Oreochromis niloticus: one gene and its partners. The protein of the gene in region 3 interacts with the protein of the main gene of each other region in a pairwise test. Links are inferred from orthologs where the notes say so. Each region holds a gene or a part of one and is shown on either strand. Other genes may lie near its edges.

The links.
Region 1: the proteins of cchcr1 (region 3) and zfyve19 interact in binary tests that used the Homo sapiens proteins (3 or more experiments, as listed by UniProt). The link is inferred for Oreochromis niloticus from reciprocal best matches to the Homo sapiens genes CCHCR1 and ZFYVE19.
Region 2: the proteins of cchcr1 (region 3) and washc3 interact in binary tests that used the Homo sapiens proteins (3 or more experiments, as listed by UniProt). The link is inferred for Oreochromis niloticus from reciprocal best matches to the Homo sapiens genes CCHCR1 and WASHC3.
Region 4: the proteins of cchcr1 (region 3) and trim54 interact in binary tests that used the Homo sapiens proteins (3 or more experiments, as listed by UniProt). The link is inferred for Oreochromis niloticus from reciprocal best matches to the Homo sapiens genes CCHCR1 and TRIM54.

Annotation. Positions count from the first base shown.
Region 1 is NC_031983.2:8,750,093-8,757,962, forward strand, and holds the start of zfyve19 (abscission/NoCut checkpoint regulator), read left to right. Parts: upstream 1-4,858; 5' UTR 4,859-5,039; coding exon 5,040-5,093; intron 5,094-5,179; coding exon 5,180-5,301; intron 5,302-5,397; coding exon 5,398-5,451; intron 5,452-5,540; coding exon 5,541-5,692; intron 5,693-5,800; coding exon 5,801-5,943; intron 5,944-6,089; coding exon 6,090-6,198; intron 6,199-6,327; coding exon 6,328-6,546; intron 6,547-6,711; coding exon 6,712-6,788; intron 6,789-6,958; coding exon 6,959-7,060; intron 7,061-7,145; coding exon 7,146-7,309; intron 7,310-7,542; coding exon 7,543-7,621; 3' UTR 7,622-7,640; exon of another isoform or gene 7,641-7,870. Other genes in the region: bub1bb (mitotic checkpoint serine/threonine-protein kinase BUB1 beta), read right to left, coding at 671-953, 1,440-1,540, 1,625-1,812, 1,911-2,074, 2,164-2,360, 2,447-2,591, 2,679-2,738, 2,834-2,976. UniProt on the Homo sapiens protein: Key regulator of abscission step in cytokinesis: part of the cytokinesis checkpoint, a process required to delay abscission to prevent both premature resolution of intercellular chromosome bridges and accumulation of DNA damage.
Region 2 is NC_031981.2:14,035,759-14,042,835, forward strand, and holds the start of washc3 (WASH complex subunit 3), read left to right. Parts: upstream 1-4,064; 5' UTR 4,065-4,223; coding exon 4,224-4,274; intron 4,275-5,368; coding exon 5,369-5,467; intron 5,468-5,560; coding exon 5,561-5,626; intron 5,627-5,722; coding exon 5,723-5,854; intron 5,855-7,077. Other genes in the region: zinc finger protein 184, read right to left, coding at 1,586-1,703, 1,777-1,887, 1,963-2,058, 2,137-2,238, 2,327-2,529, 3,015-3,048. UniProt on the Homo sapiens protein: Acts as a component of the WASH core complex that functions as a nucleation-promoting factor (NPF) at the surface of endosomes, where it recruits and activates the Arp2/3 complex to induce actin polymerization, playing a key role in the fission of tubules that serve as transport intermediates during endosome sorting.
Region 3 is NC_031975.2:10,915,524-10,923,271, forward strand, and holds the start of cchcr1 (coiled-coil alpha-helical rod protein 1), read right to left. Parts: upstream 3,010-7,748; 5' UTR 2,732-3,009; coding exon 2,662-2,731; intron 2,402-2,661; coding exon 2,113-2,401; intron 2,030-2,112; coding exon 1,862-2,029; intron 1,739-1,861; coding exon 1,621-1,738; intron 1,388-1,620; coding exon 1,193-1,387; intron 986-1,192; coding exon 822-985; intron 716-821; coding exon 601-715; intron 425-600; coding exon 314-424; intron 181-313; coding exon 160-180; intron 1-159. UniProt on the Homo sapiens protein: May be a regulator of keratinocyte proliferation or differentiation.
Region 4 is NC_031980.2:21,569,161-21,576,561, reverse strand, and holds the start of trim54 (tripartite motif-containing protein 54), read left to right. Parts: upstream 1-4,381; 5' UTR 4,382-4,568; coding exon 4,569-4,760; intron 4,761-5,493; coding exon 5,494-5,672; intron 5,673-7,401. UniProt on the Homo sapiens protein: May bind and stabilize microtubules during myotubes formation.

The DNA of each region.
Region 1 (7,870 bases), on a different chromosome or scaffold from region 3:
CCCTTGCAAGCCCCCTGCTGACAGTGCATTACTACAACCCCCTTTGGTTTCTAAAAGAGAAATTAACAACCACCAGTAATTGGTTTGGTTATTGTATCAAGTTTATTGGACATCAATGTTACATGGCCTGAAAGGCGCATGTACTCAAGTGTGCGCATGAAGCCCAGCTGAAGTGTCTCACTGAAACCCATTTTTGACTGTGTTGGATTAGAGTAGAAAAATCTGCTCAAGAAATACTGAGCAAGAAAAAAACAAAAACAGAATACATACAAAAAAACTGCTTAAGAACAATGGATGCAAGCAGGAGTGAAAAAGGAACACATTTGAGTAGTCGCTTGGTAGCTAAGGCATGCACATCAGTTCAGTATCAACATGTATTTACATCTATGTTTTTTCTCACGCTAGTAGCATTTTTACTAGATTACATTACAGTGTACAGGGGTTCCCATTATTTGGTCCAACCACTGTATTTGCACGAATCCAATACACCTTTTAGTGTGTCTTCAGCTCCCAGGGTATCCCCCCAAAAAGCTTTTTTGTTTGTTTATAAAGCCTTCTGAGTAACTGGAAATCTATGACAATATTTACATCTGGATGATGAACAGTCACTACATGATCTAGTCAAAAATGGTAAAAACTCAGAAAAGGAACTAAATCCCATTTGGAAGCATCAGTTTGCAGCACCAGCTGCAGCTTCATCCTTCTGCCCTTCCTCTGATTCTTGTGCCGTCTTTTTGAAGAACCGTTCAGCTCGCAGCTCCTCAAAGCAGAACTCAGCAGCACCATTTAGCAGCAGCTCTTTACAGTACATGCTCTGCTCCTGTTGTTTTCCCGATTCTGCCTCCTTCTGCTGCTGCTGATGGTCCTGCAGCCTTTTGAGAGGAGTCTCCTCTCTGCCCGGCTTACGCGCTGACAAAACTGTGTTAACTGCTGGGTTGATCTTACATGGAGTCCTGAGGGAGGGACAGAACAATGCACTTACATTCGGGTTAGGAAGACACTAATCAACATGTGACATGAATATAATATTTAGCAGGTAAAACAATGACATAAAACGGCAGATAAAAACTGGATCTTTTTCTGATAAATGCTACTAAAAATGTGAAGAATGCTAGAAATACTTTTTAGAGGGAACTCAATACTAAACAGTTTCCCTTAACTGAAAGTATTTATGTTTGTCTATTCATGTTTGTAGGTGCCTCCAGAAAACTGCACCTAGACTGAACAAGCGAATGATATGACAACTCAGATGAGAGAGGAAGACTTTTTCTATTTGTTTATTTGGGCTTTTCAATTAAATGTGTGTATACATCCACAGATCTTGGTACTCAGGCATTTCTGTCTGTTGTCTCTTCGTCTGTTCTTTTTTTCCCGGTCAAAATAATGATTTAAATTAAAAGTGAATGAATAAATAAATAAAGGTATTTGTAGTAACTCACATTGTAGGAGGCTGATCTGACTCCTCCACAAATGGTTGGAAAGTGAGTTTGGGAGGCGGCGGAGCCATAACAGTATGCCCAAATTTGGACTTCTGGGGCATCTATGACGACATAAAAAGAAAATTATGAATCAACTTTGCATAATGGCTTTCAACACACACGACAATGAGCCTGTTCTCCCATACCTTCACATCACACCATCGCTCGAGCTTCTGCTCGTTCTCCTTCGCCCTAGATGTGGGAGGAGCCACCCAAGCTTCCAATCTAGGCTCCGATGGGCCTGCGCTTTGAGCCTTATTCTCGTCAAAGATGACCAACCGACTGTTACTGCCAAGAACAGGGGCGCCTTGTGACTTCAGGCCACCGGGAATACCTGAGTACAAACCCATTATGTTTTTCCCAGTCTTAAAGCACTGTTATCATCGATGTAGTATTTTGAAACAGATTTTATTTGTATATTCATGTGCTTACTTCTGATCGCAGCCCCTGTTCTGTTGACGGGGGCGACAGCCTTTTTCTTCCCTCTGTGTTTCAGATCAGCTAGAGAAACTCTCTCGAGTTGCTTAGGCTCATCATCACTGTCTTCCTCCTCCACATTCATCATCACCTGCCGGGAAACGCGTGCCTGCAGTGCCCTGCGAATATAAATACAGAAAAATGTGATCACTGTAACAACATAACAGAGATATTCATTTATCAGAAACTATACTGGAAGACTCCATACTTGTGAAACTGTAGGAGTTTATCATGTGGCTCAGCACTCTTTCTGAACCCCTCTTGGTAGACCAAGTCTGCTTTGCGGAAGTTGCCCTGATCCTCATACTCCTCTGACCAAGCGATGTAGAGGGAAGCTTGTGTTACTCCAATTCCTTGTGCTTGCATGTATCTGTAAATTTCCAAAGGCTCTTGGCAGTTCTTCGCCTGGTGACATGTAATAAAACGTTATAAATGCAGCATTAGTTTGTCAAAGTAACAGAAATAGTCAGAGGTTATACTTTTGCACTCACAAATTTGATCCAGAGGTCAACATAGCGGGGGTCATTGTGATAATGTTTCTCCTCTGTAAATCTGGTCACGACTCGTTCCAGCAGTGTGGTAAGGTTGCTCTCCTTTCCTCCCTGGGGGAAGGTTTGTTCTGTCCACTTAATATACCTGGAAAAATAAAACCGTGTTAGGATTACAGGGAAATTTAAGAGCAATGCTTATGAGCACACTTGGCTATTGACATATTTCCCTTACCGATCCCAAACACTAAGTGGATCATCGCCCTCGTATGTGCGCAACTCAGACTCAAATGCCCTGCAGAAATAAATATCCACAAGGTCTTTTTTCATCATATGAAAAATGCATGGAGAAATTGTACAACAATTTAAGTTTAAAATAGCCATCCATACTGTCTCTGTTGGTTGATTGCAGAGGTGGGTCCATCTTGTTGTTGACTCAGCGCCTGATGTAAGGCCGATATGGCTCTACCCCGCCTCAAAGGCTGGATGTTTTCTTTGCTGAGCTCCCATTCCACATCTCCTCCTTCTGCCATTTCTGAAACAGAAACTAGATACATACAGCAGGAGAATTAATTATTTGATATTTATCCCCTGCTGAATTTGTAATTAAGAATTAACCAGAACCCCAGAAAAAAAAAAACTGCAAAGTTTTAAATGGATTTGTTATTTGTTATTGAGTTAAATAAGTACTTGATCCCCTACAAACAGCCAGAAGTCTGGCTCCCACTGATTGGCTTTGTGCCCATGTGGCACACAAATTACAATCAATCAATTACAGATACCCTGATCTCAACTCGTTATGTGTATAAAGCACACGTGCCCACAGAATCAGTCCTGGATCAAAGCCATTATTTCGCCCTCTGTATACACACATTTAATTCAGTTGCTTGGGCTTTTTAAGTCGTCCTATTTTTTTCATTTCTAATCTGTAATCTAACTTTAATAAGAAATCATCTTATGGGCAAATCAATAGAACAATAAAAATTAAACTTAACCCTTTAATGCCTAGTGTATCATATTTGACACAAGAATTTTTGAGACTACTACATCATCAGTGTGTTCAGATTTTCTGAGGTGGCCTTCAGAGTTTTATCTATGCTTTAAAAATCTACCACAATGCTGTTGTTTCTCTTTTTTCCCCAAGTCTGCCTGGATAAGCCTTGACTCAGATCGTAACTTGAGGGAGGCGTTGGGTGTGCCACTAAATCATCCTTTTTATAACTCAAAAATATTGCTAGAATGCAACCTTTTATCTTGGTGACTCTGACAAACCAGTTTTATATACATAGCAGGCAGGACTACTCTAAGGCTCTGCTATCTGATCTACCTAAGATCTCCTTGAGTTGATTCAGATATCTGCTGCCAGACTTACTACGACCAAAAGGAGAGGACACATCACACTTGTTGCAAAGTCCCAACACTGGGTGCCTGTCAGTTTCTGTATTGACTTTAAAATCCTTTTATTTAAATCCTCTAGCTGTTGCAAAGTGCAAGACAAAAACCTCTGGGGAGGCAGCTTTTTCAGTGTTATGCCTCAAGCTGCTGGAACAGTCTGCCAGAGGACCTGGATGTGTTGAAATCTTTAAACTTAACAGCCCCCTCCAAAGCCTAGGTGTGACTGAATATTCTTTACACACAGCCCTTGTTTTAATTTCATATAACTTCTTTGCTTTAAGTAATATGTAGTTTCATTCAGTTTTTATTTAGCCTTAAAATTATTTAATTTTTCACTGGTCAAGTCTGTTACTTGTTATTTCGTTTGATGCACTTTTGTTGTAGTTGTATTTAATTTTAAATAACTTTTTTGATGATATACACAAAGTTTATTATTACCTCTGTATAGCTAAAAGTAATAAAAGTATATATTACAGTTACTGTCATTATAATTGTTTATTACTTAGTCCTTTTGTGTGCGAACTAAATGGCATGGTGACCAAGAGGCATACTGAACAAGTTTTAGGACAACATGAGCTAACGATGCACTTCGACAACAATACATTTTTTAATAATGATGTGGTAAACTGCCATCGTATTACAAACCGTGTGACAGAGACACAAAATGATGTTTAATGCAGCTATCAACACTCTCCCTGCGTTCCTGCTAACGTTAGGAAGTGCATGCGTTTGGAGCTAACACACTAGCTAGCTAACGATAGCTTTAGCCTGACCAACTTTAGCAATGTTTCCATCGACGACAAATTTTCCTAGCTGAATTAAAATAGACTTTCTACAAAACGTGCGTGTTCTATACCGCTTCCGAGCCTCCTTTATTTCTTTTCTAGGTGACAGCTGGAACTCCAACGTTGTCGCAGTAAACCTGTTGAACGGTTGTGTCTGTGTTTTGAACAAGGACCGCCAGAGGTTTTGCAGTATTCTGATTGGACGATTCGGAAAACCGGAAGATGCGTATGCATTACGTCACACCTCAGCTTCCGCGTTGCTTCCTGTTTTGAATGAACACCTGAAAATAGTTGCTAGTAGCTAGCTGCCAGATTAATGCTCACGACTGAGTGTGTTTTCTTAGGCATTTTAACCCACTGTAGCTGTATCGATAGCATTAACATTCCCCTACCCATGAGCCTCTGCACGTGTCGGTATGGACAGTCGATGTTATTGTTGTGCGTCCAAGTTTAGCCTCTTCAAGAAGGAGGTGAGTATTTCACGGCTAATGCTAACCACATAGACATACATAGGGGTACATTTTGAATAAAGTGATCTGTTTACTGTTCGTCATAGCTGGGCTGTAAGAACTGCGGCCGCTCCTTCTGCTCCAGCTGCTTGACTTTCAGTGCTGTGGTGCCTCGCTGTGGCAACACCCAGCAGAAGGTCTGCAAACAGTGCCATGGTAATCTGACCAGGTAACGCTCAAACCCTGCAAGGAGGAAAAAAAAAACTAAAAGTAGTTTTGTTTTGGCTTTGGAGCTTCTCTCTTATTTAAAATTCTTTCTTTTTAGTGGGCAATCTTCAACCAGTGCTGGCAGATGGTCTCCTCCAGAAAACTATAAAAAGTCAGTGTATATGATCAAATAAGGGAATGACTTAAACTTTGGCAGCACAGCAGTTTCATAATATCTAAAGTACACGTGTCTTCCATTAGACGGGTCGCTGCACTTGAGGCCAAACAGCAAGGACAGCCGACACAGCCTGTGAGGACTAGCAAAGCAGGACATCCACTAACCAGCGGCCTGAGCAAAGAAGATCAGGCGATTGCTGAAAGGCTTCAAAAGCTCAAGGAGGACACAGCACCTAGTAATAAGATTTTTAACAGCTCTCATTTTTATTTAATCTAGCAAGTGCAGTATTATTATAATATTTTCCAAAATAAGGTAAGGAGTAAGCTTTTTGCCTTTTCTTCAGAGTCTGTCCCCTCTGACAAAGAGCTCAAGTCCCGACTTGCTGCTCTGAAAGCTCCCAGCAAGCCAGTACCTTCTGCAGAAGAGATGGAGGACCGTCTGGCCACTCTGCGGGGCCTCCCTCCACCATCTCAAGCTCCTCGACCTGTGAGCTGAATCTCTTCCTGCTTGTTTGTAACATCTTAGGCCTTACAGTACAGCTCAATAGCTTCAAATATTTATTTAGAGGGAACTCAATACTAAACAGTTTCTCTTAACTCCAAGTATATATGCTTGTCTATTCATGTCTGTAGGTGCATCAGCCTCCAGAAAACCGGACCCAGACTGAACAAGCCAATGATTTGATAAGTCAGATGACAGAGGAAGTTGCAATTGACAACCAGCAATCAAATCCTGAATGCAGTAAGATATTGCATTTCTCCCTGATTTCACCTGCCTTAAACCAATAAGTAATGAGTCAGTCATATCATTCATTCTTATATCGTAAAATTAATAAACCGGTACTGAACAACACTGTTATTAAATCTGAAGGTGTAGATGGCCGTATGAATGATCTCAATAAAGGTGAGGCAGGTACACTGGATGAGAATTTGGAAGAGAACCAGGATGCAGCCAAGCAGCTGGAGGCTGAGAAAGCCCATCTGCTCGAGGAAGCTATGGAGGAGCTGAGGAAAGAGCGTCACTCTCAGGATCAGATCCTCCACATGGCAAAGAGGCTGGCAGAGCTGAAGGGGCAGGACCCGGACAAAGGTGAGTTATTCGAGCACCATTCACCTCACCTTATCTGTTATCCACTGTTTTACACTAGTGTGTCATAAAATACGATAAGGACGTGCGTTGTAAATGCAGTTTCCATGACAGAAGTGCTAGTATGCTAGTGTATCATGCCCCATTTTCATTGTGATTCATTTATAGTTACTATGGAGGACTTCCAGCAACCTGACAGTGAAGAGGAGACTGAAGAAGAAGCTGTTATGAGAGTGTTAAAACAGGTGTGGCAAAAATAACCATCAGATGATAATGAACTATAAATAATTTGTTCCTGCATACATCTTACACCCCTAAAGGCATGAGTGAACTAATTCAGACCAGTGTGCCTAGCCACAAGGGGCTGCTATTTTGCCAATTTAATCACTTCTTATTTTTTCTTGTATTCTTTCAGCTCTCAGAAGAAACTGTACTAGATGAGGCCAGTGGCTACAACATACCTTTAGAACAGAGTGGCCCAAGGAATAGGGAAAAGAAAAAATCGTCCAAGAAACCGGTACAAAACCACACTTGAATTTTTTATTTTTTTAAAGCTACGTGAGTGCATAAAATTTAAATCCAGATCTGATTTTATTGTAAAGGCTCCACCTCCGGCACCTAAGAACAGGAACCTACCTGCTGCTGATGCACATCAGCAATCAGACAGTGATGAAGAAGAGCTTCCATGGTGCTGCATCTGTAACCAAGATGCCAGCCTTCGATGTCACACCTGTGATGGAGATCTGTACTGTAACCGCTGCTTCAGGTAGTATGAAATGCATTAATTATAGAAAGAAAGAAAAAAGCCTAGCTTTAGACTCATGGTTGACTTTTGCATGGAAGCCTTGACTGCACACAAAAAAACAAGATCTCTGTGATTTGGAATGCATACCATGACCCAGATAAATTGCAGGCAAGCTGCTGCCCTACTGTTAAGCAGCATGAATATAAAGTATTTAGTCTGATGAATTATCAATCCATGCTTCATTATGTCCCCAGGGAAGGCCATGATAAATATGACAGGAAGGAGCATCGCACCACTAACTACACTGCGCCAAAGAAGAAGAGGAAGACATGATAGTGAAGCTATGCTGCAGGTGATTGTTAGAGTTAGGCCAGCCATCACACTTAGACTTGTTCTTTAGCCTTAAGTGACTTACTATTGTTAGAAAACAGTCTCTCTAATCATCTAAAACAAGCCACAAACCATCAGAACTCATTAACATATTTTATTCAGTAAATGCTAAGGCTGAACTAATTGAATGGCGCATAATAAGAAACTACTGGTAATATTTCTTGCAAAGCACCGGCTAGATAAGGACCATAA
Region 2 (7,077 bases), on a different chromosome or scaffold from region 3:
TCTTCAAAACATTGAACCTGAGAGGTCACCTAGGTATAATCTCAGGAACTGTAATTTAAAGTTTGCTGATAAAAGCATTAGGAAGTCACAAGCACCTCTATATTTTGGTGTCAAAATTATGTTAACATACTGTAATACACAATTCACTTAAACATGGCAAACAAAAAGAGGATTAAATAAATGTAGTTTTGTTTATACAAATTGCGTTTTTTTTAAAATTTCTTTTGGCATAAAAAAATATTAAAATAAAATTAAATAAGATTAAAAATATAATTTATTACATTAGGAAATGTCACTAAAATAGCTTTGTCACTTAACAGCCATCAGGTCACCCGTATCCCACTTTGAGTTAAGGTTGAGTTAATATTCACCTCTCTTCGTGGAATTTTCCCTGTTTGGAAAAACCAAATGGAAAATCCCATCAATGAATAACTGCAAGGCCAAAATGTACGAAGGAGACTTCATTTGAAAAATAACAAATTCTAGTTTCTGGAAATTTGCTTGTTTAGCATGTGAGTGAAACATCACCTAACCCCAAATGGTTTGCTGGAGATTTGGTGGGTGTTTAGAGGTTAGATAATTCAATTCAATTTTATTCATATAACGCCAATTCAGTCGCCTCAAGGTGCTTTATATTGTGATTGAAAAACCCTCCAATATTAGAAAGAAAACTGACAATCATGAAACCACCTATGAGGACTTTGGAAGAAAAAAAAATGTGTTTAACAAGATGAAAATCCCGCAGAACCAGGCTGAGGGAGGTGCTGTCACTTCTGTCACAGTTGGGGGTGAACGGAGGAAAGCAGGACAGAAAGCAAACCAGTCTAAGCCTATTGCATCACAATCAGTCCACTAGGGTCTATTTGACATAATCTGGTCATCAAATAGTGATCCTGAGGGTCACATGGAGATGTCTGCATGCCTGCCTAGTTTTTGGGAGTGTGCTGACTTTTCTGCGGGAAATTATATTGAAATGCACCAACTGTACATGCATACCAGGTGGACTTCAAGTGGGCTTTTAATAAGTAAAACAGGAATGACTGCTCGGCTGTTGGTGCTTTAGCTGTTCCTGTCCATAACAGAGTAAAATCAAGGCCTAAGGGAGGATTCAGAGTCACCTGATCCAGCTCTAACTATAAGTTTTATCAAAAAGGAAAGTTTTAGGCCTAATCTTAAAAGAAGAGGGGGTGTCTGTCTCCAGAATCCAAACCGGGAGCTGGTTCCACAGAAGAGGGGCTTAATAGCCGAAGGTTCTACCTCCTGTTCTACCTCTAAAAACTCTAGGAACCATAAGTAAGCCCGCAGAGAGAGGGCAAAAACCTCATTAGGTTAATATGATACTATTAGGTCTTTAATATATCACAGGGCCTGATTAAGATAAGCATTATATCTCAGAAAGTTCTGATAAAGTGTATTACTATGACACTACAAACCTGTTGCTATGAATTTATCCACTGATCTTGAAATATTAAGAAGTGAGAACTAATTATGCAACTTTAAATCTGACTTTTTAACCCAACTATAATGATGCAACATCTTGCTTCATAGTTTTGTTGATTGTGAAAACTGCTGCAGCTCTACTTACATGCCATTTTCAGTAGTCCTGAACTTTTGTAGTGCTGGTAGATAAAGCTCAGATCTTCAGTTGACAGCTGAATGCATTCCTCCAAAACAGAAGGAGCTGAGTCCAGCCAGGCTACAGTCTGTAATCACAGCACGGTGTTAATATAACCTGCTGAAAATCACCTGAAACACTTATGTTATCTGACTGAATACCTGCTTTAGGTCTGGTACTGGAAGCAACTTTTCCAGCTTGGAGAGCAGATCCCATAATAACATATTTAGTGCTGAGTCATACTGTGGACCGTATTCCACTGGAAACACTTCCTGTAAGATAATTAGATGTTATTTTTATTCTGAGCATTTTCAAGCAAAGATATGAAATACTAAAATATGTCCTACCTGAAAAAAATATGCCCTCTCAATTGGATCTTTCAGCAGACTTTGAACCAGAGCGACAAAAGTAGACTCTGTTGTTTTCACCTCTGCATCTCTATACTGCAACAAATTAAAGTGATATGTTGAAAAAGGTACTGGGCACACTTTATTTTATCCGCTTCTCTTTAACGTACTTACATCTGTGTTTTCAGAGGTTACTGGTAGTCTGTCCAAATGGCTCTGGATTGCTTGAGAATCAACAGAACCACGTGTCGAGCCTTTGCAAAGCTCCAGTATCAACTGAAATATCAATAAACTGAGTTTTTACAGAAGCAATGCAGCAAAATAAACATACATGGATGGCATGCCAGCCAGACTACCTCCTCACCCTCGCTCTGAGTCCGAGGATGAGCTGGGCTCTCTGCCTGTGGCTGATCAGACCAGGAATCGCCTCTGTCACTGTGAACACGAACTCCTGCAGCTTCTGGTAGCTCATCACATCTTTCTGCTTCACCAGCTGCCACATGGAGGCAGACAGAAGCTGCAGAGGTGGCACCAGGAGTTGGAGGGATGAGAGAGACAGGCTTGGATCTAAAACATAAAGGTGTAATGTAACAAATGGTCTTTAGAGGGCAGCAATCAGCTTTAAACTCCAGAACTCACATTATAACAATACATATATGTTATTCATTTAATTCAGTGCTGCTCATATATTACTAAGACAATAATTTTCTTAGGTAAAGCAATGACACATATGTATTTTTTGCCCTGTATTTAAACAGCCACAAGCTTGGGAACCCGAATAACTGCTGGACAACCCTTAATAAAAGGAGTTTTAAATTTCGATTCTTCAAATATATCACCAGCTATGGTTTAGATAATACATTAAGCATAATACTTGACAGAATAATAAAAAAATCAGAAAATAATTGATTGATTTTTTTATGCTAAAGCTTAAGTTTGACAGCGTGTGCATATCACGATTCCTTTAAATAGACGGCACCCGCTAACTGTGTAACTGGCATAGACAAAGCTTACTTTATATCGCAGCTGGTTCAGATTGCCACTGTACCCACCGCTTGTTTTCTCTGCAGAGTCGAGAACCTCCATGGATGCACTGCGCCTCTCGTGGCGTCGAAAATTAGGTGTTGAGTTGTATTGTTTTAGTTAGCAGCTAACATGCGCTGTTCTTACGCAAGCACCGTTTCCTCAACGCTTACACTCCGCTTCCGCTTTTCAAAATAAAAGTAACAAAGTTGACAGGCGACTTGTCTCGCTGACATTAATTTCTTACAGTTTTGTTTTTAGTTGGAAGACAAGATAGGACAGACTTTCCTAATCCTAAAAATCCTAAAAATTTTGTGTTTCCATTGTTACATCAATTAAAATTAAGTCCCTCTCAAAGTAAACATTGCATCTGCATATTTTTCCCAGCATGGAGCTATACTGCTGCTTACTGATCGTCACCTCTCTTCTTAACCTAGCTTGAAGAATTCCTTCTCATAGCGTCACGGTTTGGCACATCAGCCTTATCCCTCAGTAATTACACACATCACCCTTGTTCTTGGCAATCAGTACCACGATATTCATGTCCATGTAAAAAATAACAGTAGATTGTAATAAAGTAAATATATCTCCTATCCAACAAAGCAAGATTTAAAGAATTAAAATTAGCAACAATATAACTCCAAGTATTCTTTTAACTGAGATGTTTTTTAAATTTAAAAAGCATGAACATTATTTGATAATGAAGACCTCATTGTTTGAGTTCATTGTTTTGCTTGCCTCCTATCATCTGTTCATTATTTTTGTTTTCAAAAACCTATAAATAAATAAATAAATAAATGCAAATTATATACAACAATAGTATTTTTATGGCTAAATTACAAGTAGCACCGAATGGAGCAAGAGTTCAACTTTTACTTTGAAGTAACACCCAACCCACCACCACCTCTTAACTTTATTTAACACAAACAATTTACAGAAAAATACAAACATGGCGGTTGAAGTCATATATTAGTGCATATAATTCAGATAAAGCGGGGTACAAGAAAAAATACAGGGTTAAAAAAAATACAGGCTCGAGGGTTTTTGAAGCACGACTTCGAAATAAAAGGCAGCCTTGTGCTACGCAGTTGATGACGTCAGGACGTGATCACGCAGCCCAGAGTCACGTGAACCGTTTCACATATGCAAATGTTTTAATAACCCGTTTTCGGTCGTTTTTGCGGTGAAATTTCTTGCTGCTGAATTTGAAAGTGCACTTTAATCTTCAGCGATCCAACATGGACGAGGACGGGCTGCCCATCGTGGGCTCTGGAGTCGACCTTACCAAGGTTGGCGTTGACTAGTTAGCTAACATAGCTATTTGAGTAGCTGGTGAGGAAATGAAAGCAGGCACAAGCAGAGCTGCTTGACATATGTTTTGTTTAAAAAGTAAGATAACACAAAGGCTGTTTATCGGTGATAGAAGCCTATAGCTTGTAAGTCATTAACAGATATGACTGTCACAAGCTCTTGTAGTTCAATTTCCCTGATAAATGTGTGATTTTGTTTTGAAGTGAATATATGTTGTTTCTACACTTGATCTTCCAGGGTAACAGATTTAACCTTTGCAAAGAGATATACTTACGCTTATCTTTTTAAAACAGTTTTGTTTAAAATAAATCTATGAAGTGAAAATGTTTGTCATTTGTATAAATAACTGTTTTTCGGGAAGGGATGCTTTTTATTTTATTAACCGTTCTGGGTAATATTAGCTAATCTAAAATGCTATTTTCCTCTTGTGAAATATAAGTGGTATATTTTGCATTCAGCATTTGAAGTTGCCTGTGAATGACTGTCAGCATGTTAAACTTGTTCTAATTATATTTTTTTCACAAGAATAATAAAAAAATATTTTTGCATCACATTTAAAAGCAAGATGCTTTACCAAAAAACTGGTTAAAAGGTCATAAAAGACAGAAAATGAGAACATAAAAAGAAAGCAAAACATAACAATAAAATATGAAATGGCATATATATCGTTTGGAGACAGCACTACTAAAGTTGTTAAAAAGATGAAGATGTTCAGATTTTCATTGGGAGTGATCAGGGTGGACCTGGAGACAAGGCGGACATGTTTTGGATGTGCAGAGGAGGGATATATTGGACAAAGGGTGTTAAACATGGAGCTGCCAGGCAGGAGGAAAAGGGGAAAGACCACAGAGGAGGTTCATGGATGAAGTGAAGGAGGGTGATTTTCAGGGCAGGGTGAAGTGGAGGTGAATGATCTGCTGTGCCGACACCTAAAAGGAGTAGGGGAAACGTATGCAGCCTAGGGAGGAGAAGTTGCTTTAAGGGGAGATTGGACTGGGAGTTGTTTCATTTCCTTGTTATATTACACTTATGATCCTTCTACCTTAAATTCCTTTTCCTGTGTTTCCTTCAGGTTCCTGCGATCCAACAGAGAAAAATTGTTGCCTATCTCAATCAGTTTGTTGCACACACAGTCCGCTTCCTTAACCGCTTTTCCACAGTGTGTGAAGAGGTTTGTTTATCTTTGTTTCTTCTGCTCTCGTCATGAAACAAAAAATCTCTGTAACACTTAAATCCTGAACTGTTGTATAACGTCTTCCCACAGAAACTTGCAAACATATCTCTTCGCATACAGCAGATAGAAACCAGCCTGTGCATTTTGGAGGCCAAGGTGAGTTCTGAAGCCTCTGAAGGCTGCAGTGCAACATTATCTTAATTTCATGCCAATTTGCTTGATATTTATGGAGCAATATTGTGCTCTGTGTAGTTGTCTTCCATTCCTGGACTGGAGGACGTCACAATCGAAGGACTCGGTCAGCAGCAGACTGCACAGGCCAATGGACCCATCATCCCCAATCAGAGCCAAATCGATGGTCCAGTAGCAGCGCCTCAAGGAGAGGTACATACACAAACTCGTACACATGGAAACATAGCTCCATCAAGCTTCGCTGAACTGCAAAGTCGAGGATTTTTTTTTTTTTTGACAGTTTTAAAAATAAACCTGTGAGCAGACAAAGGTTTCAAAGCACCCCCAAGACCACCTAATTAGAACTTAATATCTGACCTGTTTAGTCCGTTTTCAACTTGACAACCCCACATTGAAAGAGGCTTCTCTAATGTATTTTTGACATGATGGGAGCCAGAGCAGCTTTTCTCTTGACTCTCAGGGTAACTCAGTCTTTTGTATTTGTTGTACAGACGTTCAAGTAAAGTTTTCCACTGTTTTGACTACAGTGTGATGATGTCCCACCACATGTGTTTTTATTTTTCTTCCTCTAGATGAAGAAAGGGAATATTTCCATGGAGCTTTATCTGGCTGAAGTTCAGCTGTTTCCAGAGTAGCTCTTTTAATGCAAGAGAGCCAGTAAAGAGAAAAAACTGAAGTAGTTGGAATTGTTGAAGACAAGTGAAACTTTGTTGTTCTTTCTTTTTGGGAATCTAATTTGTCAAATGTTAGTGGTTTTGATGATCTCCACCTCTGTTACTGAAGTGAAAATGAAAGAACTTCAAAGCAGGAATCTCCCACTTGTATGATTTATATCTACCAGTGAAGCACCTTTAAAAAAGAGCCACATGAAAATAGTTTAGGGTAAATGAGATGATGAAAAGAGAATAAATGTTATTTGAAAGATCCCTTGCAAAGAGGACCTCAAACAGAAAACTTTTACAGGCTTTCATTTCTCTTATTGTGAAGCATTTGCAGAAACATGTTTTGGAAAAGTCAAACTTTTTTTATTTAAAGACAAAACATTCATCTTTTTACAGTTAACACTTCATGTGTTATTCTACACAAAAGAGAATAGATGAGACAGAGAGGGCAACAAATCTCTGGAAAAGGGGAAAAAGGACCTGTTTAAGTAGAGAAAGGTGTGATGAATGACTGAATGCCAAAGGAGATGGTCTGACAGGGGAAGATTTATTTAAACTAAATATCATCACTGAAATCCTGTACTATGAGGTGCCACAGGGCTCCATATTAGGACTGTTGCTGTTTAGTGTATTCATCAATGATTTTTCCATTTGTGTATGATGGTGTTGCTGGGAGTGTTGTATGTACATTGTAATGTCTTTGAGCAAGTTGCTGTTAACTTTTTGAATGGTGAATGCTAACTTATCAAGTGC
Region 3 (7,748 bases):
ATTTCTTTATTATGTACAAAAATGGCCCTTTCTTCTCATTAGGATATCTCAGATATTACATGTGTAGTTAAATGTATATACACAGAAAGAAAGGTGTGTTTCACTAGTCCAGCTTACTCAATGTGGTCTGTGATGTATATTCAGTTTGACATTTCTTACCTTACGTGGTCCGCAAACATCCTTAGAGAAAACACAAAATCATAGGCATCTGCTGGTTTCACATTGGACTGCTGCTGATCACCAGATGTTTTAAACACAGTTTTGTATCATGTTTTGCTATGTAAATTTAGAAAGAAAGAAAAAAACCACTCACCTTTTTCACCATTTTCTCTTCTTGGAGGGCGAGTATCTCATTCACAGAGTTAAGCCTGACTGTCAAAAGCTCTGCAGTTGTCTGAAGAGCAGCTTTCTCTTTGTTCAGCCTCTGCAAAATGGACAAGATTAAATTACACACAATTAGAGTTAATTATATAATTTGTACATTAACTCATTCATATTTTACTGTTCTTCCTTTACCCTAGTGAAAAGAACATTTGAAAGTCCCATGCAGTTACTTTGCAGTATGCTCATTACGATCAATACTGTTTATATTGCCTCTACCTCAACAGCTTCATTTAATCGTTCCCTCTCTCCTTTCTCTGGTGCAAGCTGGCCGATGTAATTTCTGAGGCTTTGCAATGTAGCAGACTGTGTCTCAAAAGCTTGTCCCATTTGGCTGAAAAATAAACAACAACATGCCCCCCACCACACACACACAAAACAGTGACTACAGAGTGCTTTAAATGCTTTAGTTCTGTTCCGATTTAGATTGAATGAAGCACCTTAAATGTTCTTTTAGTCCATTTCTCTCAGTAGATACTTCCATCAGAGTGTTCTTTAGCTGCAGCAGTTCTGAGGTCACTGACTGAAGTCGGTCCTGTAGTTCACCATTTGTTTTTTGTGCTGCATCCAACTCTGCATGATGGGATGCATTCAACTGTTGCAGCTGAAAATTAGGAAAGTTTAAGACACAGACAAATAGGGACATAATGACTTATTCATCTTCAATTACACATTCTCGCATTACTTGCAAAGTCAGAGTGAAAGGAACTGCTCAGAGTTCTGCTTAGAGATACTTAGTGGTTGTTGCATTAAGGCCCTTAATCCTAAAGGAGGTCACCCAAGTACAATGTTTATGATCAGTTAAACACACCTCCACCTCCTTGTTGTTCTGAAATTCCTCTAGTTGCTCTAATAGTCTGAGAGTCTGTTGTTTGGCTTCCTCTTCAGCCTGCAACCTGCCCATTTCAACCTTCAAAGCAAGCTCCCGGGATTCTTCTTTGCTCCTTTCAGCATCTCTCCTCAGCCTTGTAATTTCCTCATCAGACTCTGCTTTCAGTCTTTCAAGCTGTGAGAAAAAACAGACATATTACAAACAGAAAAAGCAGACTTTATTAACCTTATTATTGTGAAACGTGTTAAATTAAAGGTGACTAAAAGGTTTTATTGGGATCACAAAACTGTACAAAAACAAATTTAACTGCAAACTGCCAAAATAAGTTAGAAAATGCCAGTAACTCTCAGGTGATGTATGTCTACAAGAGTGTCGAAATGAAATGTTTTGTCAGTAAACATCATTACCTGTGAGCTTATTTTTTCCTTCTGTGCGCTGCAGAAACTGAGCTCCTCTCTGATTTGGCTGAGTTCAGACTTAGCCTTGGATAGATCCGTATGTATTGCTTCCATCTCATGGCTGTGTCTGTTGTGCAAAGGTTATTCCAAGTTAAGCTTGTTCAAAACCATTATTTGCTGACCTCCATAATGTGAGGTTACATACTAAATGTGCGGAGATGTCACATAATGACACAAGCACATCTCTTACCTGCTAAGGGTGTTGTCTTTGTCTCTGACCTCTTCCCTGCATCTTTCTGCAATCTCCTTTAGTGCCTCCACCTGCCCCTTTAACCTCTCTGCTTCAGCCTTGTGCTTTTCTGCCTCCAGTCGCCACTCTGATTCCCATCGAGACCAATTATCTCCTCTGTCTTTTGATCTGCATAAAAGGAAAGAGACCACATTAATATGTCCATATTGCCACCCAAGTGACAGACCATATAAAACATGTAGTGGATATACCTGGCTCTACAATCTGAACGATAATCAGGGGTCCTTATGCTGTCTCCTTGTAGCATCAAGATCCTCTGATTTTCCTTCCTCAGCTCCAAGATTTCCTGTTGGGCCTGATTGATGGCAAGCCATGGATTGGCAGGACTTGGTTCCCCTGATGATGGTACTGATATCATGCCTTGGTTTATCCAGGAGATGGGTGGCTGTGTCGCCGGCATTTGAACACATCTGTTTGTTCCAGCAGAATGGGCACTTGATGCAAAATGCGATGGCGGTATGAGGTCCTCCGGAGTCTCCCCTTCATAAAATAAAACAGTGTCTATGTGTTTGCATGCATTAGCTACTCTAATCCAATATAAGGTTCCCCATGTTCGCAAACAAGCCTTTGTTATGCTAAGTTCACTAAAGATAAACATGGCAGCTTCCTGAAGAATAAAATCACTTTTACTTGTTAAACATGAGTTAATGTAAGCGCCAAGTGGGCTGCACTGTAAGCTAACATTTGCTAATTAACAGTTTATTTAGCTCAACCTTTACAAGAATTTAGGAGCAACTTACTCGGAAGTGCTGGTGAGGTGAAATCAGTGGGCACTATCAGCCTCTCCTTCCCTAAAGTTTGTCTCTCCATGTTGAATAACTATTGCCACCACACAGGAAGGAAACAGTACACGACTGCTGTGGTGCGTTTAGCGTTTGTTCTCCCGCGAGTCACGTCATTCTTCACCGTTGCCTTAGTTACGGGTACAACAGCAACATTCAGAGCTCTCGGTTTGGGCAATTTTTGGTCGTATCAGTCGTTATTTTCCGTTCAAATAACCCACATGTTAAAGTTTCGATGTATCATATATCTATGCATATGAAATTCAACAAATTAAATGGTTTATTTAAGCATAACTGTTACATACTGAAACGCCAAAGTGCATCATGGGAAATTGGAAGGAGCGTAAAAATGTATTTGGGTTTTCATTTCCCTAATTATAGTCTCGCAGGAGTTCTTATTTCACGTAAACTGCCTTTAAATATCCCCTAAATCGTAACCCTGCATTGCCGCCTGTTTGTATGCGTTTCAGTGCAGCGTTTGCAGCGTCTACTGGAAGAGCTCTCCTGATAGACCAAATTCAGGGCGTAATCCTGAAATGATAGCACCATCTGTGGGTGGAGCACAGAAGGTATTCTGTGATGGGTAGCATATGTTGAGAAGAGGGGGCACTGAGGACTAAATTAACTGTCCTTCTGGGCAAATTTAAATTCGAAAATATTTTATTTAGATGAAAACAGACACTAGTTAGAAAAACATAGTAAATGTAAAAATTATGAAAACAATATGATATATGAGCTTTCCTGTCCCTTTGTGCAGAAACCACAAGTTTCAACAATAAGAAACACACATTATCATATTTATTATAGGAGAAATATTTATAAGTTAAATAAATCATTAGTCTGTGTCATTCCATTCTTTTGGAGGTGGTTACGTGAGCCATTTATATTCAGGCATTATCTAGATGTAAAGGGATATCATTTAGATAATTAGTGGTAAAGGGTCTCATGTAAATGCACTTAATGAGGTGATAACCTAAAATTACAACATTCCTTCTTTGCCTGGGACTCCCTCACCTCAAGAACACCCAGGGGTGTCTGACAGCCACATCATTTCTGCATAATATAGCCGGCCTTGCAGAAAAGGGCACTCTGAGCAGGTTCATAAGTGCAGGTCTGAATAGCAATTGGTGATCATTTGGTTACGTAACAGAATTTTTGGGGGTTGAGGGGCGTCTATAAATATTTTACCCACAACTGTAAAATCATTAGTATCCTTATATAATTCAGATGAAGCACTTGCAAATTTTTGTAGATTACTCATGAGTTACTTTCCTCCAGTGATGCACATTTTGCACACACAACATTTGTGATTTAAATCCACAAACTGTACACATGTGGCCACCTCCAGATAAAATCCTGTCTAATATTATCTATCTAACAGTCATGATAACCAGCATATTTCACGTATCCCGTTGTATTATTTTCCCCGGGTGTCTGCAGCAAACATTTGTATTTGCTGTTTCCTACAGTATATCCTGTTTTCTGTTGCTGCTATGACCCACTTTCCCCCTGGGGTTCATTAAAGTTTTATATCATCTATTTATGGCATTTTTGAGCAACACAGAGACCTTTTAGGTTGATTCATTTCCATAAATGATCACAAATAAATGCAAGATGATATGGTACATCACCGAGAAAGACAGGGAATGTCAGTACAACATGATAGTGTTCATCTTGTATAATATCCTTAATGTGGTGAAGGGGTGGATAGGGGAGTCCAGCAGGAGTGATGTGCATTGTTTGGACATGCCGATATTGTATCTTCTTACCACAAGGCGGGCACTGCAGCATAGGTCCTGAGGAACATCGCAGAGGGGAAGATGGATTGAGAAGGGCAAAGGGAATCAAAAAAGAAAGACAATACTCACCTTTATCAAAAAGCAAAAGGGAGAGAGAGAATTAGTATGTAAGCTTTGTTTCTATAATCAAGGTGAGCATTGACCACCTGCAGAGCATCAAACACGTAGTACATGAAAGCTATAAAGGACATTTTGATAAAGGCAGGCAGCAAATTGATCTGGGTCCAGACTAAAATGTTCCTTGTTTGGCTCTAGCAGGGCTCTTGAAGCAATGGTGAAGAGGTCTGCTTTTTGTTCACTCTTCAGTTCTGTTAGGTAAACTGTAGAACAAGCAGAACCTACAGAGAACCCCATTTCAACCACAGCACTGAGCCAACTCTCCAACCTCTGCAGACTTGCTTTTCTGATTAGAGCCCTCGCTCTTCAGTTTGAATTCAGCCGTTGTTCATATGGATCATTCAGATAACCATGTTTGTTTTTATTATATCAGAGTGTCACATGAATCCCATACTGGTCTATAATTTTCCCAGTATTTTAGATTTTAAACTGACCGACCCAAATTTTTGGTTAAAATGCTCAGATCTCCATTTGTGAAAAACTGGTTCCTCATTAGTCAGGGCATTTCATACTTTTACCCTCCCAGGTGGATGTGTCTGTCTGCTTCAGTGACAGTGACCTGTTTTTCTTACCACAAGGGCATTGCCAGCTGTGTACATACAGATACTGTCAGGTCAGCATTTCTCTGCCTTTTCTGAAAGCAACTTAAGCAGGACCATTCCTAACCCATCTGGCAGCCTTACAAATCTTACGCAGGAGCTGACAGATGAGTGTGTGACCCAGACCTGGAACCACAGGGTCAGGCAACACTGATTAAAAAGAAGATGTGGGTCTATCAGGCCAGCTGTAGGATGACTTCAGGCTAGAGAGGTCACTAAGAAATGACCTGGTAGATTTATTTCTGGCTTTTTTTGACTGAGTTAGGCAAATAACGCTAAAATTGAATAAATGGCGACTGTTAGATTTACAATGTTTTTGTCCTTTGATAACCAATAGTACTCTGCTCATGTGGTCAGATGAATTTGAAACTCGTTGTAATAAACAGGTATTGTTCCCTGCATGGGAACCAACATATATGCAAAATATTTTCATTTCTTTAAAAAGCTTTCATTTGCAACCCAGCTTGAAGCACACTACACTGGGCAGCATCTCTCTCCAAGAAGTCTAGAAATGATCCCTCAGCTGTGCATCATAGCTGTGACCACTGGGCATTATTAAAAAAAAAAAAAAAAAAAAAAAGGATATGTGGGGGAATATGTCTGCCCTGTCAGCAACTGCCCAGACTTTGCCTCATAACTCATCTGTATCGTTGGGACAGATTCTAGTGTGATGTTCATATTTTTAGATTTAGTTTAACCACTGAATGCAACAAAAGCATAAGCCCAATTCCCCACATACAGGTGCTTAAACAGAAAGTCAGCAAGCTAGAGAAAAACAAAAAACAATTACTGGAATGATCTGGGTTTTTTGGAAGATATATTTTTCCACCTTACCTGTCATAGACTAGTTTCCTAGCACCTGTGGTCATTTTGACTCACAGCATTTAACTATAGTGGGTCTTTTTTTCTTTTTTGGGGGGGGGGTTTGTTTGTTTTTTGCATATTCAGTCTGATTGTTTAAAAAGTGTAGATCTAGTACGAATAAGATTTTTTTAATGACTCTGCTACGAGGGGTGATCAGGTCTAACATGTGCTGCAAAGCATGGGATAACACTGGAGGGTGGTTTGCAAAATTTTCTATTTTGCCGTTGTTGTCACAATTTGCTAAAAAGGCTTTTGCCAATGCAAATGTGTCTGATCTCTCTCTCTCTCTCTCTCTCTCTCTCCGTGCAGGCCTGCTCACTTTACTTTTTGATTTGGTCAGTCGTAGATGGGTTTTACCTCTGCACGAAACGTGTGCGCCCATGAGTGCAGTCCGAGGTTAAGGTGCTTAGTTAATGGTTTCTAAATTGGGATTCAGTCGGGTTTTTTGGATGGTGAATTTAATGCACCGGCGTATCCCGGTGGTTGCCTAGTAACGCGCTGGCAGTGGGCGCCGTAGAGAGATCTCTATGGTGGGCGCTCCATTAAAACCGTTGGCGCTCCTGACCTTGGCGTCGTGAATGCGCAAAGCACACAGACTGTGCGAAGCAGGAGATAAGAGTGAAGATCTGCGCGTTTGATACCGAAACCGGAGAAATATTCCACTCACACTCACACACACGCACGAAACATATTGTTTTATGTAACTGACGGGCATAGTATGGAGGAAATCTCGAGATGGAGCGCGTCTTAGCTTGTGAATAAGCAGGTGAGTTAACCTAATGATTCTGATATTTTTTAATGCTTTTTTTTTCTTCTCTCCATGAGATGAATCTTTGTTCAGATTGATCACTGACATCTGGGTTGACTGTGTTCTTTAAAGCGATTGCTTAGCGATTTGCCACAGTGGCTCTTTTCTGTGCTCGGTGTTTTATTTTCCCCATTTTATCCAATATTACACCGTCCTAGACCTAGATTAAACAAGCTTCCCAGTCACAACGTGAGGCGCGCGCGCACACACACACAAACACACACACACACACACTACAGCAGTTTGTCGATGCTACGTGGGCTGTGGCTTGGTTTTCTCTCTGGGTCTGCATCCTTGCATTAATTTATAAAGCAGTGATCATTATGTTTGAGTGCTACCTACACCTTCCGCGGAGGATATCCCCCCCCTACACCAATCCCTGCTCCTCTTTATTGCCTTGCAAAATTAGGGGGATTTGGGAAATCCACTGAAACGGGTTTGATCCACACCAGTCGAATTACAAGGGCATTGGGAGCTCGGTAGCCCACTGTTGTCTGACACAGGCTCCTTCTCCAATCTTTTCATGTCAGGGGGGGCCCCGGGCTACCAAGATCCAGTCGATAAGATGTTGTTGAGATTTTTTTATTAGTGGTGAATTGGAGTTGATATGTGTGCCTGTCAATGATGTAGGTGTAGAGATAGTAATGGTGGGAGTGGAACATGATTACAGCAATCATTCTAATAGGTCTGTAACTAGGATCAAGTCAGTCAAATGGGAATTGAAGTATTTTGGCCTCAGGGAAGCTAGGTATTCACTTAAACCACCTCTGTGGCGCACCCACATGTGTGTGTGCATAGTGCAAACAAGCCTGTTAGAGTAAAACATTATGGTTGTAAAACAGTTTCTTTTCTTTTTTT
Region 4 (7,401 bases), on a different chromosome or scaffold from region 3:
ATCATCCACTTTGCACTGATTTATTGACTTGTCTGAAACTGATTTTCTTCCTTGACTCAAAAGCTGTAATGGAAGGCAGATGAAGCCCAATAAATAAGCAATTTACTTCAACAAAAAGCTCAAAAATACAATGGGTTGCGTCATAAGTGTACTCAGAACACATCATGTTAAGCATTATTCTGCTACATCTCCATGGATGGATGAATAGATGGCTTTGGGCGTCTTCTGAAATGACAAAGAAACCTTTTTTTTTTTTTTTTTTTTTTTTTAAAGAAGTAGTTCAACATTTTGGGAAATCTGTTTCATAAATGTATTTGCTTCAATGCTTTTTGCCAACAGACTGTAAATAAAAGATGGGCGTCGCCACCTCAGTGTCAACCTTTGGGTTAATGAAGGCTTGAGCCGAGGGGTTTATCTGTTTTTGCCATTTTTATGATTTGAAACTGTGCATGATGAATGAGGGGTGGGTCTGACTAAAAAACCAAGGACATTGCACAATCATAGGTTAGCTACTTGTCAATTACAAAGTAAAACAGCTTCTGTTTTGTTAACGAGGTCACCACTTACAAACTGGACCCATAATTAATGTGTGGAACTAGCGATCGAGGCCACGTGTTTAATCTGTAAACTCTCACAGATTAAAAGAGCGTAGAGCCATTTCCTTTAGACATCTATACAGTTGTGAAACCAGAGTTGCTGCCCCCTGTTGGCCACTAAATGAATGACGTGTTAAGGCCCTTCACTGGCTTAATTTTGTTAGTGTTTTAAAATGGTATTGATGAAACACTAAATGCATTTCCCAAAATGTTCAACTCTTTCTTTAGTAGTGCATATTTTAAAATGGAGATGTAAAAATTTGAAATTGTGAGTCGAAACAGAATTTAAATTCACATACCAATATTATTTTTCTGTAAGTTTATTTTGTTTTTGTTTATTTTCCCCTCTCTACAAAAGAAAGGAAAAAGAAGATAAAGCAAAAAAAATCCCACTAACCTCATTTAAGGTCTTTTTTTTTTTTTTTTTTTTTTTTTTTTTTTTTTTAGCAATGACTCCTATATGTCCTCTTATTTTTTTTGATGTTACTAATACTTGGCTTTTTTACTGCTTAGTCTCTAATTTAAATAAAAAAATGATATTTTGCTTCCATGTTATTTTTAGATTGTTTTAACGTTTTCAAACCTCAAACATTGTTTACTGACATCACGTGGAAGCTGTTCAGTTGTTGTCATGTGGAGCGTTATAGTCCTGTGTAGAATACTAATGCAATTTGTTGTTGTGTTTTTTTTGTTTAGTTTTTTTAACATAAATTTTGCTCTAAAGGTTTTATATCTCTGTGCTGGCCAAAACTATAGTCACATCTAAATTCGGCTTCTAAAACTCTTCTGTATTACTCGGTGTGTTATAATAAATGAATGCAGAGCTACGTGTACGACCATATTGTGAAAAAACAAACCAGCTTTGATAAATTTTTACCAGTCACTTCATATCTGCTCTTTATTTACATATCAGCTTGTTTCTGAGGGAAACCGTCTGCAGACTTGAAGGTCATTTGATTTCATGTCATAGTTGTTTTTAATCCATAATAATATCCAAAAGTGAAACAGAGCACTTCATTTTTATTTAACGCTACATCATTAGAGTTTAAACATGATGATGGAGCACTCAGTCATACTGTTTCGTTTTTTTGGTTTTTTTTAAGTGTTATAAGCAACACCATAAAACAGCAAAATGTTTTTTTGTTTTTTTTTTTAATTCTTACTATTAGGCGACATCTTTTATGAAAGGATTTAACAGAATTGCTTACTTGAATGTTTGACGCTAACATGTCAGCATGCACTGTTTGGTAATACAACCACTGGCATATGCTAAAAACAATTAGCGCTGAGCTAATTTCTTTTTGTGGATAAGCTGAGTGGTTGAAAAAAAATGTTGCATTCATCTTTATTAAGAAGAAGAAGAAATGTAAAAGAAAGTCAACAAATATAGAAGAATTGGAGAAAGACATTTTTGGATGAAACTGGGGATTGATAAATAGGAGAGCTGACTGTTGTGGTTCTCTGTGGACGAACATGTAAAACTTATTATAGAAACCAAATAAAACAACAGGATTTTATAACTTCTAGTGTGTAACTTTGTCTTATGTTTGTGCTTGTTTAGGAAATTATGTCAAGGGTTACACTTTTAGTTTTTTAGCACCACTTAAGAAAATAAGATGCATAAAGCTACTTTCAGCTTGCTCCCTGGCCACAAGGGGTCGCCACAGAGGCTCGCTTCATGATCTGTGTTAAGTTATATTGGCTTTTTGTTGTTGTGGTGGTGGTGGTGGTGTTTTGTTTTGTTTTTCAGGCTCTTCCCGATGCAGTAAATTTAAAATAATACTGCAAAAAATGGTGATAATTGAAAATACAGAAAAAAGAAGTAATTGAACCATTAGTGAATAATAAAGAGTAATTCATTGTCATCAGAGCCATCAATATGAAACAACTGCAAACAGTACCAAGAGAAAAACATGTGTGGTGGTGCTGGTGTTGACAACCATGATCACATTTATAAACACTAAAGCAAAGCTTATATGACAAATGAATGAGAGCCCAGTTGTATTTGGTGCTCTTAAGGGTGCAGGATGGGTTTTCTTTTTAATTAATGAAAAGTTTGTTGACAGGAAGGTAATCACAGAACGGTAACACGGAGGTCTTCAGCTTGAATCCCTGTGTTTGTATGTTTGGCTCACTCTGCAGCAGCCCTCCGCTCCGGACTATTAATAGTCCTGTTAGCCCATTAGCAGCTTAGTCCTGCCAACTCCATTCTGTTGATTAGCAAATACTTCAGGGTTTTGTTTTTGTTTTTTTGTCTGTCCCTGGGAACAGACCTCACTGCTGTATGCTGACAGGTTGAAGGCCACAAAGGGGTCTCTGGGTCACATTGTGGACGAGATCAGGCTTAGGTTCTGCATGAGTAATCAATTATAGTTTACCAGGTCAGAGCCTAGCATAAAAGTGATTGTACAACAGTTAATTCATAGCTACAGTGACAAAAAGAACATGTCCTGCCTCAATGTGCAGCATACAGTGAAATACAGATTCAGACTGCTTCATACATTTATAGACTTTACTATTCTTAATTTTAGGCCAGTAGTCAGCTTTCCTCTGCTCTTTAACATGACTGCATAGATAAACTTCACGTCTTTAGTATTAAATATTAATAATCACAACACATTACTTGATTTGTCTGATCACATTTTGCCCTCATATTAGTTAAAATGACTTGAGTGGTCCATAATATGATGTTGTTGTAGTTGCATCATAGTTATAGTTTGTTAAGTTTAAGCCCCAAAAAGAAATTCCTCAGCTGTCCCATCCTTTGATGCCCAAGCTACTGTATAAATGTGATATAATCTGAGGTTTTCTTGCACATTTGACACAGATATTCAATAAATGCTTTCTCCTGAGACTGAGGGTGCTGAGGTTAAACAGTAGATGGTGCTCTTGAGTCAGTTATCTATTCTCTGACTGATATTTCTGTATTTATATTGGAGTTTAAATGTCCTGTGAGCTGTTGTTTGTTTGGAGCTGCTTGGCCAGCGATTCTGTTCAGCTTTTTTCTTCTTCTGCTTCTCATGCTTGATGACTCAGTCGCACACCTTACATTTATATATTTAGTAGAGTGGAAAATTAATATAAAAAAGCAAAGAACCAAACTAAAATTTTAACTTTATTAGGATTTCTTTTAACAGTTGAACCATTTTGGTAAGATTTTTTTAAAAAGATGTTGACTTCTTACTGAATTGAATGTCGCCAAGAAACTTAAATCAGCCGTGGAAAAGAAAATGCTTTAAATGTGTTGACTTGTACCCGGCTCATTATTTAGCAAAGCTTTGTTGACTGAAGTTTGTTTTTAGAGGTTTTAATATTAAATATCTTTGATTAAACAATATTTTCACCCGAGTACACACTTTGCTTTGCTCCAAATAAGAAGAAGGCTTGTTGGAAACATACAGCACAACAAATACTCCACCTTTCTGACTAATCTCCTGGTGAGATTAGTCAGAAAGTTGGATGAACAGAGATGTTGCGCACTCGGCGTGTTCTGCAGGAACAAACAGACATCTAAGTTGAGTAATGCTTCAAGCTGTTTATGCCAGCATGCTAATCACCTGAAACTTTGCTGTCACAGGTTGCATTATGTCACCAGGATCCCCTCTGAAGTATCAGACTTCATAAAAATAGAATAATTTGAACCCAGATACCGAACCCTGCTGTGATCCCCTGCCACGCCCAGACTTTCAGGAACGCAGTTTAGACAGTAACCCAAGCCAGAACAAACTGAGGAGCTAAAAATACCAACAGAGGGACAGGCTGGCTGCTGTGGGCCTGAGGTGTGTGGGAGGGTCTTTACTTGGGCTTTAGGCAAGCTGGCTGTGGCATAAAGCGGTGGACATGGACAACTGTGGTTAGAAATGGCGTAACAGCTAAGTGGAAAATACTAAAACCAACTAACTTTACAGCCATTTGAGAGTAGAAGGGCAGAGCTTCCTGACGTCTTTGACATCTTCCTCACTGCCGGAGGTGATGAGCTTTGCTCTCGGCTTTAAGCACCCGACAGCAGGCAGCTCTGGGCCCGGTGCTGGAAGCGGAGCCACCATGGAGAATCTGGAAAAGCAGCTGATCTGTCCCGTCTGCCTGGAGATGTTCTCCAAACCTGTGGTCATCCTGCCCTGTCAGCACAACCTCTGCCGCAAGTGTGCCAATGACATCTTCCAGGTGAGACTGAAAGAAAAGAAGAAGAAGCCTTCGGGGTTTTTCAGTATTCAGAGATTACACTGTTAGTTTTAAAGGTTTTAGTTGGAGTTCCCCTTTATCTACACATCCTCAGAGTCTGCAGTGACCTTAGATTCACAGCTACAATGTGATCGAGTGAAAACCCAAACAGACAGTATTTATTTTGTCCTAGTCCACTCCCATGTTAGCAGATAGTATCTGTATATTAAACACGCTTTTGAAATTTAGAAATCACATTTAGTCATTTATCAACACCAACAACCTTATCTCAGAGGCTTTTTCTAATGTAAAAATATTTTCTTTCTTATAGATATATATTTTTTCTTTCTTATATGCAAATATATTTTTATTTCGACCTAAAAAATCTAATTTAGGGGCACAAAACATTGCAGTTAAATGGCCAGATGTCACGGCACACCTAACATCTGGCTCATGGAAAGTGGATCTGTGGCTGAGCTGAGGCCTCGACTGACGGTGCTGACTCAGGGTGAGTCAGCACCGTCAGTCGAGGCCAAATGTGGCCTGTGGAAAACTGCAGATGTGGGTCACATTTATTGCCATCTGGCTACCGATTCTTCAGTTTAATAAAAGTCAAAGCAGAGTCTTCCTCTCTCTTCACTGATACTGGGTTCATATGTGCAACCAAACAGAAATCCACCAGTGAAGCAGTCTGAAGCAGTTTGTTGTTTGTTTTTTCCCCCCCTCTTAAATCCAGTCAGCTAATCCTCTGTGGCATTCCCGTGGTTCCTCCAGTGCGACGGCCAGTGGCGGTCGCTTTCGCTGTCCGTCGTGCCGCCATGAGGTGGTGCTCGACCGCCATGGAGTCTATGGCCTCCAGAGGAACCTGCTGGTGGAGAACATTATCGACATCTACAGACAGCAGGAGTCCTCCAGGTGAATGACCCAGAGAGGGAGGGTTGAAAGAAGGGGTAGTAACCCAGGCAAATGTTTCTTTTAGTGAACTTTTTAAATCATCACATGTACATATTTGAGGGGGCACACTAGCATTGTAGCGATGTCTCAATACAGCCACAGGATTGCTCTGATGAAGCTGTGCCTCTTAATTAATGAAGTCTAAGCAGAGTTAGGCTTGTTCTGTTTGTTTTTTTTGTTGTTTTGCAAATACCAGATACAATGGTATGTTGGAGATAAAATACTCAGTTTGAGACAGTTTTTTCTTCTCTTGCTTCTGTATGACATCATTGAGAGGGTATTAATAATCTGCTCATCTCAGGCCCAGACTCAGTGGCCCAGACTCAGAAGCCACACCCACCTACTATTCAAGCTTCTGTTTGCAGGAGCCGGCCAATCAGGAGAGAGATGTCTTGAAGGGAGAGAATCTGAAACAGCATGTTCAGTTTTTGAATCCACCTTTCCAGTAATATTTGTTAGTTGTATTAAACCAAAGTCAAGTAGTTGTACCACTGGACACCCAAGACAACCTCTGTTTATATTTCTTGTTGTTACTATGGGACTCACCTTCCTGTGTCTTCCTCAGAAACATTTATCTCATTAAACCAATCCTGATTCACTACTAACTGCCACGTCCAATCCGGGTAAACTCACAAAAGTTAATCAGTGCAAGTTCATCCAACTAATTTATTTTATATTACATTATTATTATGTAATGAGATTAATACAAATCTAAGTAATCAGAAAAATCATAAAAATTAAACATTATACTGTTTGTAAAACTTGAAATTCTTCGTTCATCGTTTAAAAACACTAACATGTTTATCGAGAGTGCACTTAGCTGTAGTAATGAGTGACTGCCTGCAGAGAGCAGCATCATATTGTATTACAGCAGGTTTGTGGGTTTGCATGTTTGTCAGCAGAGCAGAGGTGATGTATGCATATACTGTATGTTGTGTTCTTGTTTATTGTGGCTGATATGAAGTATATTTAGCAGTAATGACAAAGCCATGCATGCTTACATAATCAACATCATCATAATCAAATAAACAACATTTTAGCGTTCATTTTTGGGTGATTTGTCTCTCCTTTATTCCCAGAGACATATTTAAAGACAAAATCAAGCACAAGTCACTCAGTTTTGAAGTACTGACTAAAATATGTTAGCCAGTCTTGAGACACGTGTCGGTTTTATATTTTATTGTATTTTCTTTATTGGTATATTAATACATTTTGATGCACAGGTTGATGATTACAGGTGAATGATGTGTTGTGTGCACAAGGAAACATGTTGGAAATATGAAGAGTGTCTTTTGTATTGATACATGAGAAAAAGAAACTTCTGATGCTTTCGCTGTAGTAACAGATTGTTACAGATTGTTGCAGTAACACATTCGATTTTTAATAATAGGTAGACAGAAAGATCTTTACTATTTAGATTTTTGCTGAAGAAACCCAAATTCTGAACCAGATCTAAAAGTAGAGTCGTTTTCTATGAGTGTATCAACCAGAATCAGTTATCAAATATTTCCCCAGCATGACTCATGTGGAACCTGATACTGTAACTGTTCCACCTGAGTATAACCAATACCCGAGCACTGTAGAAATGATAGTATGACAGTTGTTTCCACACGCATGCACTTTGTATAAAAAGTAAAGCGTTTCAAGCAGCAGCCTCTTTACTACATCTGCTCTCCACACTTACTACAAC